Oryzias latipes: one gene and its partner. The protein of the gene in region 1 interacts with the protein of each later gene in a pairwise test. Links are inferred from orthologs where the notes say so. Each region holds a gene or a part of one and is shown in the gene's direction. Other genes may lie near its edges.

Evidence for each region.
Region 2: the proteins of ap1g1 (region 1) and ubl7 interact in binary tests that used the Homo sapiens proteins (3 or more experiments, as listed by UniProt). The two-hybrid records come from large-scale screens. The link is inferred for Oryzias latipes from reciprocal best matches to the Homo sapiens genes AP1G1 and UBL7.

What each region holds. Positions count from the first base shown.
Region 1 is NC_019861.2:21,119,536-21,123,873, reverse strand, and holds the start of ap1g1 (AP-1 complex subunit gamma-1), read left to right. Parts: upstream 1-1,300; 5' UTR 1,301-1,402; intron 1,403-4,338. UniProt on the Homo sapiens protein: Subunit of clathrin-associated adaptor protein complex 1 that plays a role in protein sorting in the late-Golgi/trans-Golgi network (TGN) and/or endosomes.
Region 2 is NC_019861.2:28,018,926-28,023,199, forward strand, and holds the start of ubl7 (ubiquitin-like protein 7), read left to right. Parts: upstream 1-1,403; 5' UTR 1,404-1,493; intron 1,494-1,830; 5' UTR 1,831-1,833; coding exon 1,834-2,011; intron 2,012-2,129; coding exon 2,130-2,249; intron 2,250-2,333; coding exon 2,334-2,419; intron 2,420-4,016; coding exon 4,017-4,101; intron 4,102-4,178; coding exon 4,179-4,236; intron 4,237-4,274.

The sequences.
Region 1 (4,338 bases):
TTATGGTTCTTATCTTATTTTGTGTGGCAAAAAAGAAAGCCCTAGTTTTTAATTCAATAATTATTGATTTCTTTTTAAATTAGCGTACTATATGTATGTTAGAAAAAACGTGAAAATTTATTGAACTCATACTTTGTTTGTTTAGTTATTTGCTTTTAATAAAACAAATACTATCATTTTTTCCATCCAGGATAAAGGCAAATTAGTCCAAAGTGTTATTTATTGATGTTTAAGTTTTAATCCCTCATATGTTGCTTTGCAAAATATGTAATTCGTCTTATTGAAGTTCAACTCCCGACACCTGTGGGAGACCCAAAAAATAACCTTAACAACAAGGACATGTTAGTCATGCATACATGTACAACCATCTTGAATAAAAAGATGTATACCGTAATTAAAATGTTTTTGCTTTAAATCACTTTTACCAACACTTAAATGTAGCATCAAAAATATAAAATGAAGCATTTATGAGAGCCAAATTCCATTTTAAATGATATTTTAATGCATATCAATTTAATCCAAATTCTCTCTTTAAATAATTGTTACATTGAATTTCAAACCTAATCTTTATTTATAAACTAAATATACTAAGTATAATTAAACCTTTGCATGGTTTTGGTCAATTGAACAAAAACAAAACAAGTCTAAATTGGTATCTCATCAAAAAATAAATTATTGTTTTAGATCAAACCTCAAGAGGATCCTCTTAAGAGGACAAGAGACACCGCTAGGTGGCGCTTTAATTTACGGTACCACTGAACTCTCACATTGCATGCAGTCGTCATCACTGTATGCCACGAGTAAACTGACCGCAGCACGCCTTCGAGACGGACAGTGTACTCATCCGCAAGGTTAAAGGATAATATTCTATCTCAACAAAAGAAACCTCGCCTTGTCATTTAACACATGTTTCATGTAAAATGTCAGACAACGCATCTCAGTGTAACCAGGAATCCAATCTCAAATAAATACGTTTCGAAACCTTTTCAAAAAGATAATCGAGAACCAGATGGTTAAAGAAAACAACAGGCTCTATTGCTAGCGCTTTATAATAACGGGAACAGACCGAGCGTGCATTGTAGAAAACTGATCAAATAGAATAATTGATTTAATATTACAAAAGACCAATAGTGACATAACGGAACTATTACCCATGGTGTCCTGTAAACAGAGCTGTATCAGGTGTAATCTCGGTCACAGTGGTGACTTCTCTGCTTCCAGCCGTTCCTGCGATGATGACAAACTTGAGCTGAACGCCTTTTACCATCCTCTGAGAGTGTAACCCTCCGCCTGCGGTAGATGTACTGAGGCTGGAGTAGCCACCATTTTGCATGTCTAGTGTGTTCCTCCCTCCATCGCTAATAGAGACGAGTCCAGTCCTTTTCTGGCGTCATTACGGCTAGTAAGTACTTTGAAACAATAACATATCGACAGAAATGTGATAAAATGTAATTTTCTTAAACAAAAAACATTACGCGTGTGTTCGTGTCTGCGTTGTTATCTCAGAGAGAGTGCCACTGCATAGGAAGTTGCAGCGCTCAGTGCGCCGGGGCAGTGCCTGTCAGTAAGCTAAGTTAGCTACCATGTAGAGCAGTGCTAGGTATCTACGGGCTTAGCTATGCAGAATTCCCAAGTGTTTTGTGAAATATTTATTGTGACAGCACCTAACGATGACTGTGTAGTTAATATTTCCACTACTGGACCACAGCTCTTGTCCTGTAACTTATACACTAGTTAACAGCGAACTGTCAGGTAGCGAGCTGACGGTAGTACAGGGGGCTAGCTAGCTAGTTTGTAATCCAAATGTTCCACGAAGGCCTAAACGCATCATGTCCTCTTCACTTGGTGAACTCAGTCAGGTGTCGTAGCTCGAGGTTAAACAAAACCACTTTTCTAATTATTTTGTATGTTCATGTTGTTAATATTAACTTCTTGCATTTTATCAAAAAGCGTGAGTAAGCGGTAAAGCCTCTGTTGTTGCTAAGGATGTCCAAACATGATCCCTTTCGAGTAAAATGGGCACTTTTTGTAAAGCTACTTTTTACTCAGTTGTTGTGCCTCGTCGTTAAGATACTTGACAGTTTGCTGGAGCTTTAGATGTGGTTTTTAAATATTTAAAAACTTTAAAATGTCGAGTCAAGTTAGCTTTTGACATCCAGGAAGCTATAGCTCACTAAAGACGTGAATTTGTTTTTATAATGTTTACAAAACAGTTGGTGTCATTGAAGCGTCTTCCTTAGTAGATTTCTGTAATGAAACATCTAATTAATTTCCATTATAGCACTTGTTGCTCAGGACTGGTTAACGTTAAGGAAGTCGAGGTATAAGTAGGAAGTGCGCTACGAGTGTGACGTTCTGCGTATCGACGTGTCTGCTGGGTTGTCTTTAGTGTTAATGTTTCTGTTGACCAGGACCAACACACCTTTCAGGAGTTCAGGGGCCTCTTGGCGTAGGTGAGGATAGGCTTACAATCATACTATAAATTAATTATTGGTTTACAATAATTGTTAATTAACATTTGGGGTTTGTTTTTCTCAACTCTTTCGTATTAAATGGTCAGTGAAAAATATTGAGTGTCTTGCCTTTTTACTTTAGGTCTGAGGCCTTAGTAACCACCAACACAAAGTATAAAAAATCCATTTTGTATTTTCAAGTTCAAAGGAAGTTTATGCATGTTAAGCAGCTTTGAATAGATGGAGTTAAAGGCCCTCTCCTGTTAAAATTGTTGGTGTTTTTAACATGTTCCCGTGGCATTGTTCTCATGATGGAGTACATATATGCATACATAGAAAATTAAGCTAAAAATAGAATTTCTGTGCATTTCTTTATTCAAATTGTTGTGAATCAAGAGCAGAAGAAAAAATGCACTTGGAAGAAGCTGTGACATAAGTCCCCTGTTCAGCTTTATTCTGATGCATCTACTTGTAGACTAATGGATCCAAATAGATTGGCATCTGGCGCAAAACTAAACAGCTGGATATCTCCGATATTGCTCGCCATTTTTGTTTCACCGTTAATGTTACGTTGGTGCTGTGAGGTACTGTACTAGGGAACCAGTGGGAGAGCACGTAAATAGATGATGGGAAGTAAGGGAAAGATTACAGCATGGCAATAGTCCCACCCACAACTCAGAGGTAATTTTCTAATGAGCAACAGATTACTAAGTAGTGAGTTAATAAGGGAAACTCCTTTAATGCTGAACTGTTTTGTTAGATGGATCAAATCTGTATATAAATGAATGGATTTGACCTTTTTAAATGCAAAGTTATCCCAATTTAATAAATGCTACTTGGCAAGTATTGAATCATTAAGATCCCAGATAAGTCCTGTTTTATTTGAGCTTTTGTTTGGGGCTGCTTCCCGATTGTTTTACTGCTCCTGTCACTAATGCAGTATTTTGTAGACTGGAAGAAGTGGCTAAAGATCTGCTGAACATATTGTGCATTTGCTTGGCTAATATAAGACTAGCAAAATAAAATGTCTGGGACCAAATGTAGTTTTGTTTAATGCAGATTTCCTCTTAACAAAGTTGCAAAGCATTATGGCCACCATTAATCCACATTATCTTGTTACTTTAGCCATTAGGACACAACTCCAATGTCCCCTCCTGTGACACACCCACATTAGCCAACTCCTCTGTTTTGCATTCAATCTGAAAGGGTTGTTCTTTTCACCCAGGGACATGGGGGTTGGTCATGCGTCTATCTTGGATTGCAATCTCCCCGAATTCATTGAAAACAAAATAAAATCCAAAATATATTTTTCATCCTGATTCTGTCCCTAAAACATGTCATGTCATGTGATTGACCATATTTCTCATCTCTAGAAGTGCTCATCCTGCAGTTTAAAATAATAAATCAGTCACTTCTTGGACAGATCTGAAAGCACAGTTTCATGAAAAGTTGAGCCACTTTTTGACAGGACACAAATAAAAACACCCAGCAGAATCTGTCGTGTGCTCTCTTAGGAATGGGGTCAGTAATTTTTTTAGGTGAAAATAATCTGCAGTGTCATGATTATTTATTAGCTCCAGCAACATGACAGCCAGGCTGATAGGATCATTTCTGCTGAGTCTGTGATTAGAACTGCAAGAGAGGCCTTCAAATAAAAAAAGGTTTTAGATTCACATAAACAAAAGTATGACCTCAACAGAAGTCTGAAATTGACAAGAGAGCAAAGTCTTCAGAGATGCCTTTTGTTTAACAGCCCACTTGAAGCTCATCCTTAGCTTTTGTGGAATTTGTTTATACTGATCCAGTTCTGTCCAGATTAACAACGCTACATTTACTTCTTAAAATTACTTCCAGTACAGCCTAAAAGATCTGTAAATACAACGGT
Region 2 (4,274 bases), about 6.9 Mb from region 1:
ACAGTCAAAATGTAATCCCATAAAAGGTTATTAGGTATTGGTCAGTGTCTGTTCCATTGTCTTCTGCTAACTAAACCAATGTAAATCTGAAATGCTTGGATCATTTTACAGATGGTAAAGTCTTCTCAAAAATGACTAGTATAAGGCTTTAGCATTTGCATTCAATATGTATTGTACCCCAGTTTTCTTTGGGGCCAGAATGATGGGGTGAAGTTCATTAGATTTGTAAATGTGTTTACTTTATTTTGAACAAAACAACTATATGAGTTAGAGTTTAATCAACGGTCCACCATGTTGAAAAGCGATAAATGTGCACACTCTCCATTTTGTTCAACAAGGATTAGGAAGAAGAAGCAGAGAGCTTTGTGAGCTCTCCCCATAAAATATGTATGAATGCAAAACATCAGTCTCTCACTCACACCTTCCATTATTCATTCAAGCTCACTATGTCTCCCTTCTATACTCAAAAACAAATACAATGATGGAACTGGAGGACAAGTGCTAGTGAGCTTTTCGTTTCACTCAGAATTAACACTCTCTGGGCTTGCATGCGCTCGCTTATGTTCAAATTTATCTGCAGATTAAACGCTTCAGAGAACACTCTCATCTTGGCTATAAGCAACATTAGATTTAGTGCAATACGTTTCCGGTCAAATTTATGGAAACACTGGAGGGACTGTCTTTTTACTTGTCATTGTAATTAAGGTTTTTACAGTGTAGTATGTATATGTAATCTTTTTATCTTGGTATTTATTCTTATCCTTTTTAATTAATTTGTTTGTATTAAGTATTTTCTATTAACTTTTTTATGAACTGTAACTATACACTGTACCTCAGCTGTGTATTCTTGACACTGTATTTTTTTTTTAAATGTGGTGGGTCTGTGTACTCCTTTTTACTGATTGGACCATGAGTCTGGAATAAATTCTATCTATCTATCTATCTATCTATCTATCTATCTATCTATCTATCTATCTATCTATCTATCTATCTATCTATCTATCTATCTATCTATCTATCTATCTATCTATCTATCTATCTATGAAACTTCATGGGATTAAGGAAACATGGAAGGACACATTTATGGTGTTTGAAAAATTTGTGCAATGAGGACAGAATTACAAACTAAATTGGTAATAAAGCAGCAGTTCAATGAAAACATCATAAAAAGTATTTTAAAAATATTCAAGGAAAGGTACACAAAGGACATATACTTGGCACGTAATTAGTTGATCATACTACTAACCCATATGTCCTCGTAGGCTCGTTTTTATGAAGTACCGCTGAGAAACAGCTGTGAAAGAAAATTAGAGGAAGTGGCAAACTAGACAGAAAAGTGTTCATGGGGATTTACGAATGTGCAACAGATGTGGAAAGGTTGAACAGGAAAGCGATGGGACAAGAAAAAAGGTCTTTGCTCGTGGAGTGGACGTGAACGCAACACGAGTCACGTGATTACAAATCCCGGAAGTGAAACGAGTGTCAACAGAGCGGTGAGTCTGCATCTTTCTTTTTATTCATAGGGTTGTTTCTTGTTCAGTTTTTAAATACATAAATAAATAAAATGTTCGGAAACTTTTATTTGAAATGTTCACAAGAAGCAAAATAATGTTTAATTAAGAAAAAACGTCACTACACGGCTGTCCTCTGTTCATTTTTTAAACAACCGTTTAGGTAATTGTTAGTATTGTAAATGTTCTCTAAACATGTAAACTTGTTTTAAAAGTCACTTGACAAAAAGATGCATCTTTAAGCAAAGGCACACATTTTCGGGTTAGCTTTAAGCTAACGGGGCATTCAAAACAGATGTCCCTGCTCTTGTTTGCGCAGACAATGATGGCGTCCTCAGACTGGCGCTTGTCTCTGAAACTGGCGGACCAGCCCAAATCCACCTTTCACTTCCCCGAGATGATGCCCGGAGATGTCCCACCTGGAGGATACAGAGTCGCCACCTTGAAGCAGCTTGTAGCAGCGCAGCTGCCAGACTCCGTCCCAGACCCTGAACTCATAGGTTTGTTAGCAGCAGAAATGGCTGCCTGTTGTTGTTGTTGTTGTTGTTGTTGTTGTTGTTGTTGTTGTTGTTGTTGTTGTTGTGTGTGTGTATAACTTGTTGTTCCTTGTTTTCCCAGAGCTGGTCCACTGTGGGCGAAAGCTCAAGGACGAGCTGACACTGGACGCCTGTGGGGTCCAGCCGGGATCCACAGTACACATTCTGAAGAAGACATGGCCAGAGCCGGAGAGCAGTCCAGGTCCGTGTCTGCTGCTGCGGTCAGAAGCTCTTGAAAGTCTCTCCCCATCACCGACACCTCGGCTCCGGATTTGTGTTTTTGCAGAGCCGGTGAACAGAGTGACTGCAGCCAGAGAGTTCCGGGTGTTCCACGCCGCTCTGCATTCGCTCAATTCAGCCTACAGAGACGCAGTGAGTCCATAACCAACAAAGACCCACTCTGTGTCCCGATTCCTTCACTACTCACTACATAGCCTACAAAGCTCCTAATACATGTTCTGATAACAAAAGTACCACAAAGATTTATTAATCTATTTATTTATTTATGTACTAAAAGTCTATATTAAAATTAGCAAGGCTCTAAAAAGAACTTAAATAAAAAAAAATCTCTTTTTGTCATTTTAAACTATTGGGTATATTTTGGAATTCGCTGAATGATATTAATAATTGTAGAAAATGTTTTGGAAACATCCATAAATCTTATGGATTGGATGGAAAAATCATAACTGTACAATTCTAACGCTTCCTGCTCAGTTTTTACACACAAGTGTGAGAAACCGAGCTTCAAAGCAGAGATGGCAAAACAGTTTACTTTTTTTTTTTAAAAAATGGGCAAAAAATTGTTCAAATGATGAAACTATATGAGATTCTACCAAACAGAAGTTGGATTTCGGAGCCAGAATCAGGGAGGACTGGAATCCCAGCAGCCCTCGGAGCGCTGGAACCCACAACATTTTTTTGGTCTTGCCATTAAAAACTGATCCCAAAAAAAAAGATCACCTAAAATCTGTTTTGTAGAATTCCAGAAATCTTTACAGCATGTTTTTACAGGTTTGTTTGAGTTTTGCAGTGATGGACTCTCATTTAATGTCTCACCTGGAGATCATTTCTCGTTCAATGGTTTCGTTTTACTCCCCAAGGTTTCCACTGTTTGTCTTAAATCACTATTATTTTTACTTATTATTATACATGTATATATTTTCCCCATATTTGTCTTTTTTTGAGCACATTTGAAGCCGTTTGTTGCACATATTGAATAGAAATATGGATGAACAGTTATGTCTCTGCCAAAGCACCTGTCTGAAACGGTGAAAGCTGATTCGCTGTGGCGACCCCAGACAGGATAAGTCAACTTATACATAAAAGAGCTAAAAGCTTCTGAATCTGAACAATCTTACTTGTTTTGTATTTTAGGATCTGGTGGTGAGCAGGATCTTTTGCTTGGTGTTTTTGGCTGAACTGGTAACTTTAGCACTGAAGACAATTTTTTGAAAATCATCAAAACCTCAGCCTGTTCTGCATTTACGTGGTGTAAAAAGATTCAGTTGGAATCAAAATGGAATCAGTAAAATCAGTTGTTTTGTTCTTGTTTGGACACTAAAAGCATCTAGACTTTGAACCAGAGGACAGGAACTCAAATGCTTCATGAATAGAAGCAGTCCGATTCTGAATGCTGGTTGTTCGGGAGTCAAATATTCTGGACGTTTTGGATCCAAACCAAAGCAGCTGCTGTTGGATTCTTCCATTTACTAATATTTTGACTCTGCAAAGGAATTTGGCTCCGGTGATTACATTCCTTTCCATTTGGCTGTCCGCACACCTGTCTTCACCGCAGTCTGGCTGTGATTAGATCACCTCCAATGCTTTTTATAGCTGTAGCTGAACAAAATCCCGGCCGGCGTTTGGTTATTCAGCTGGATCAGACTCTGACAGTAAAGGCTGGCGGAGCTCCATGGCAGTAATGGGAGCACTCGGCTTCTAAAAATCTGTGTTTGCTCTGAACTCTCAGGTCTATAAAATGCTGACGAATAAGGAGTCTCTGGATCAGATCATTGTAGCCACACCCGGCCTCAGGTCAGACCCGGTCGCTTTAGGTGAGAGCTGGACCAGCCACTTCCTGTGGGATATCTTTCGTGCATCGTAATGCTAACATTTCCCCTTCAATCTTCAGGAGTGCTTCAGGATAAGGATCTCTTTGTGCAGTTCACGGATCCAAACATGCTGGAAGTGTGAGTGGGACTTCTCAGTGTCCTCTGGTGACCCACAA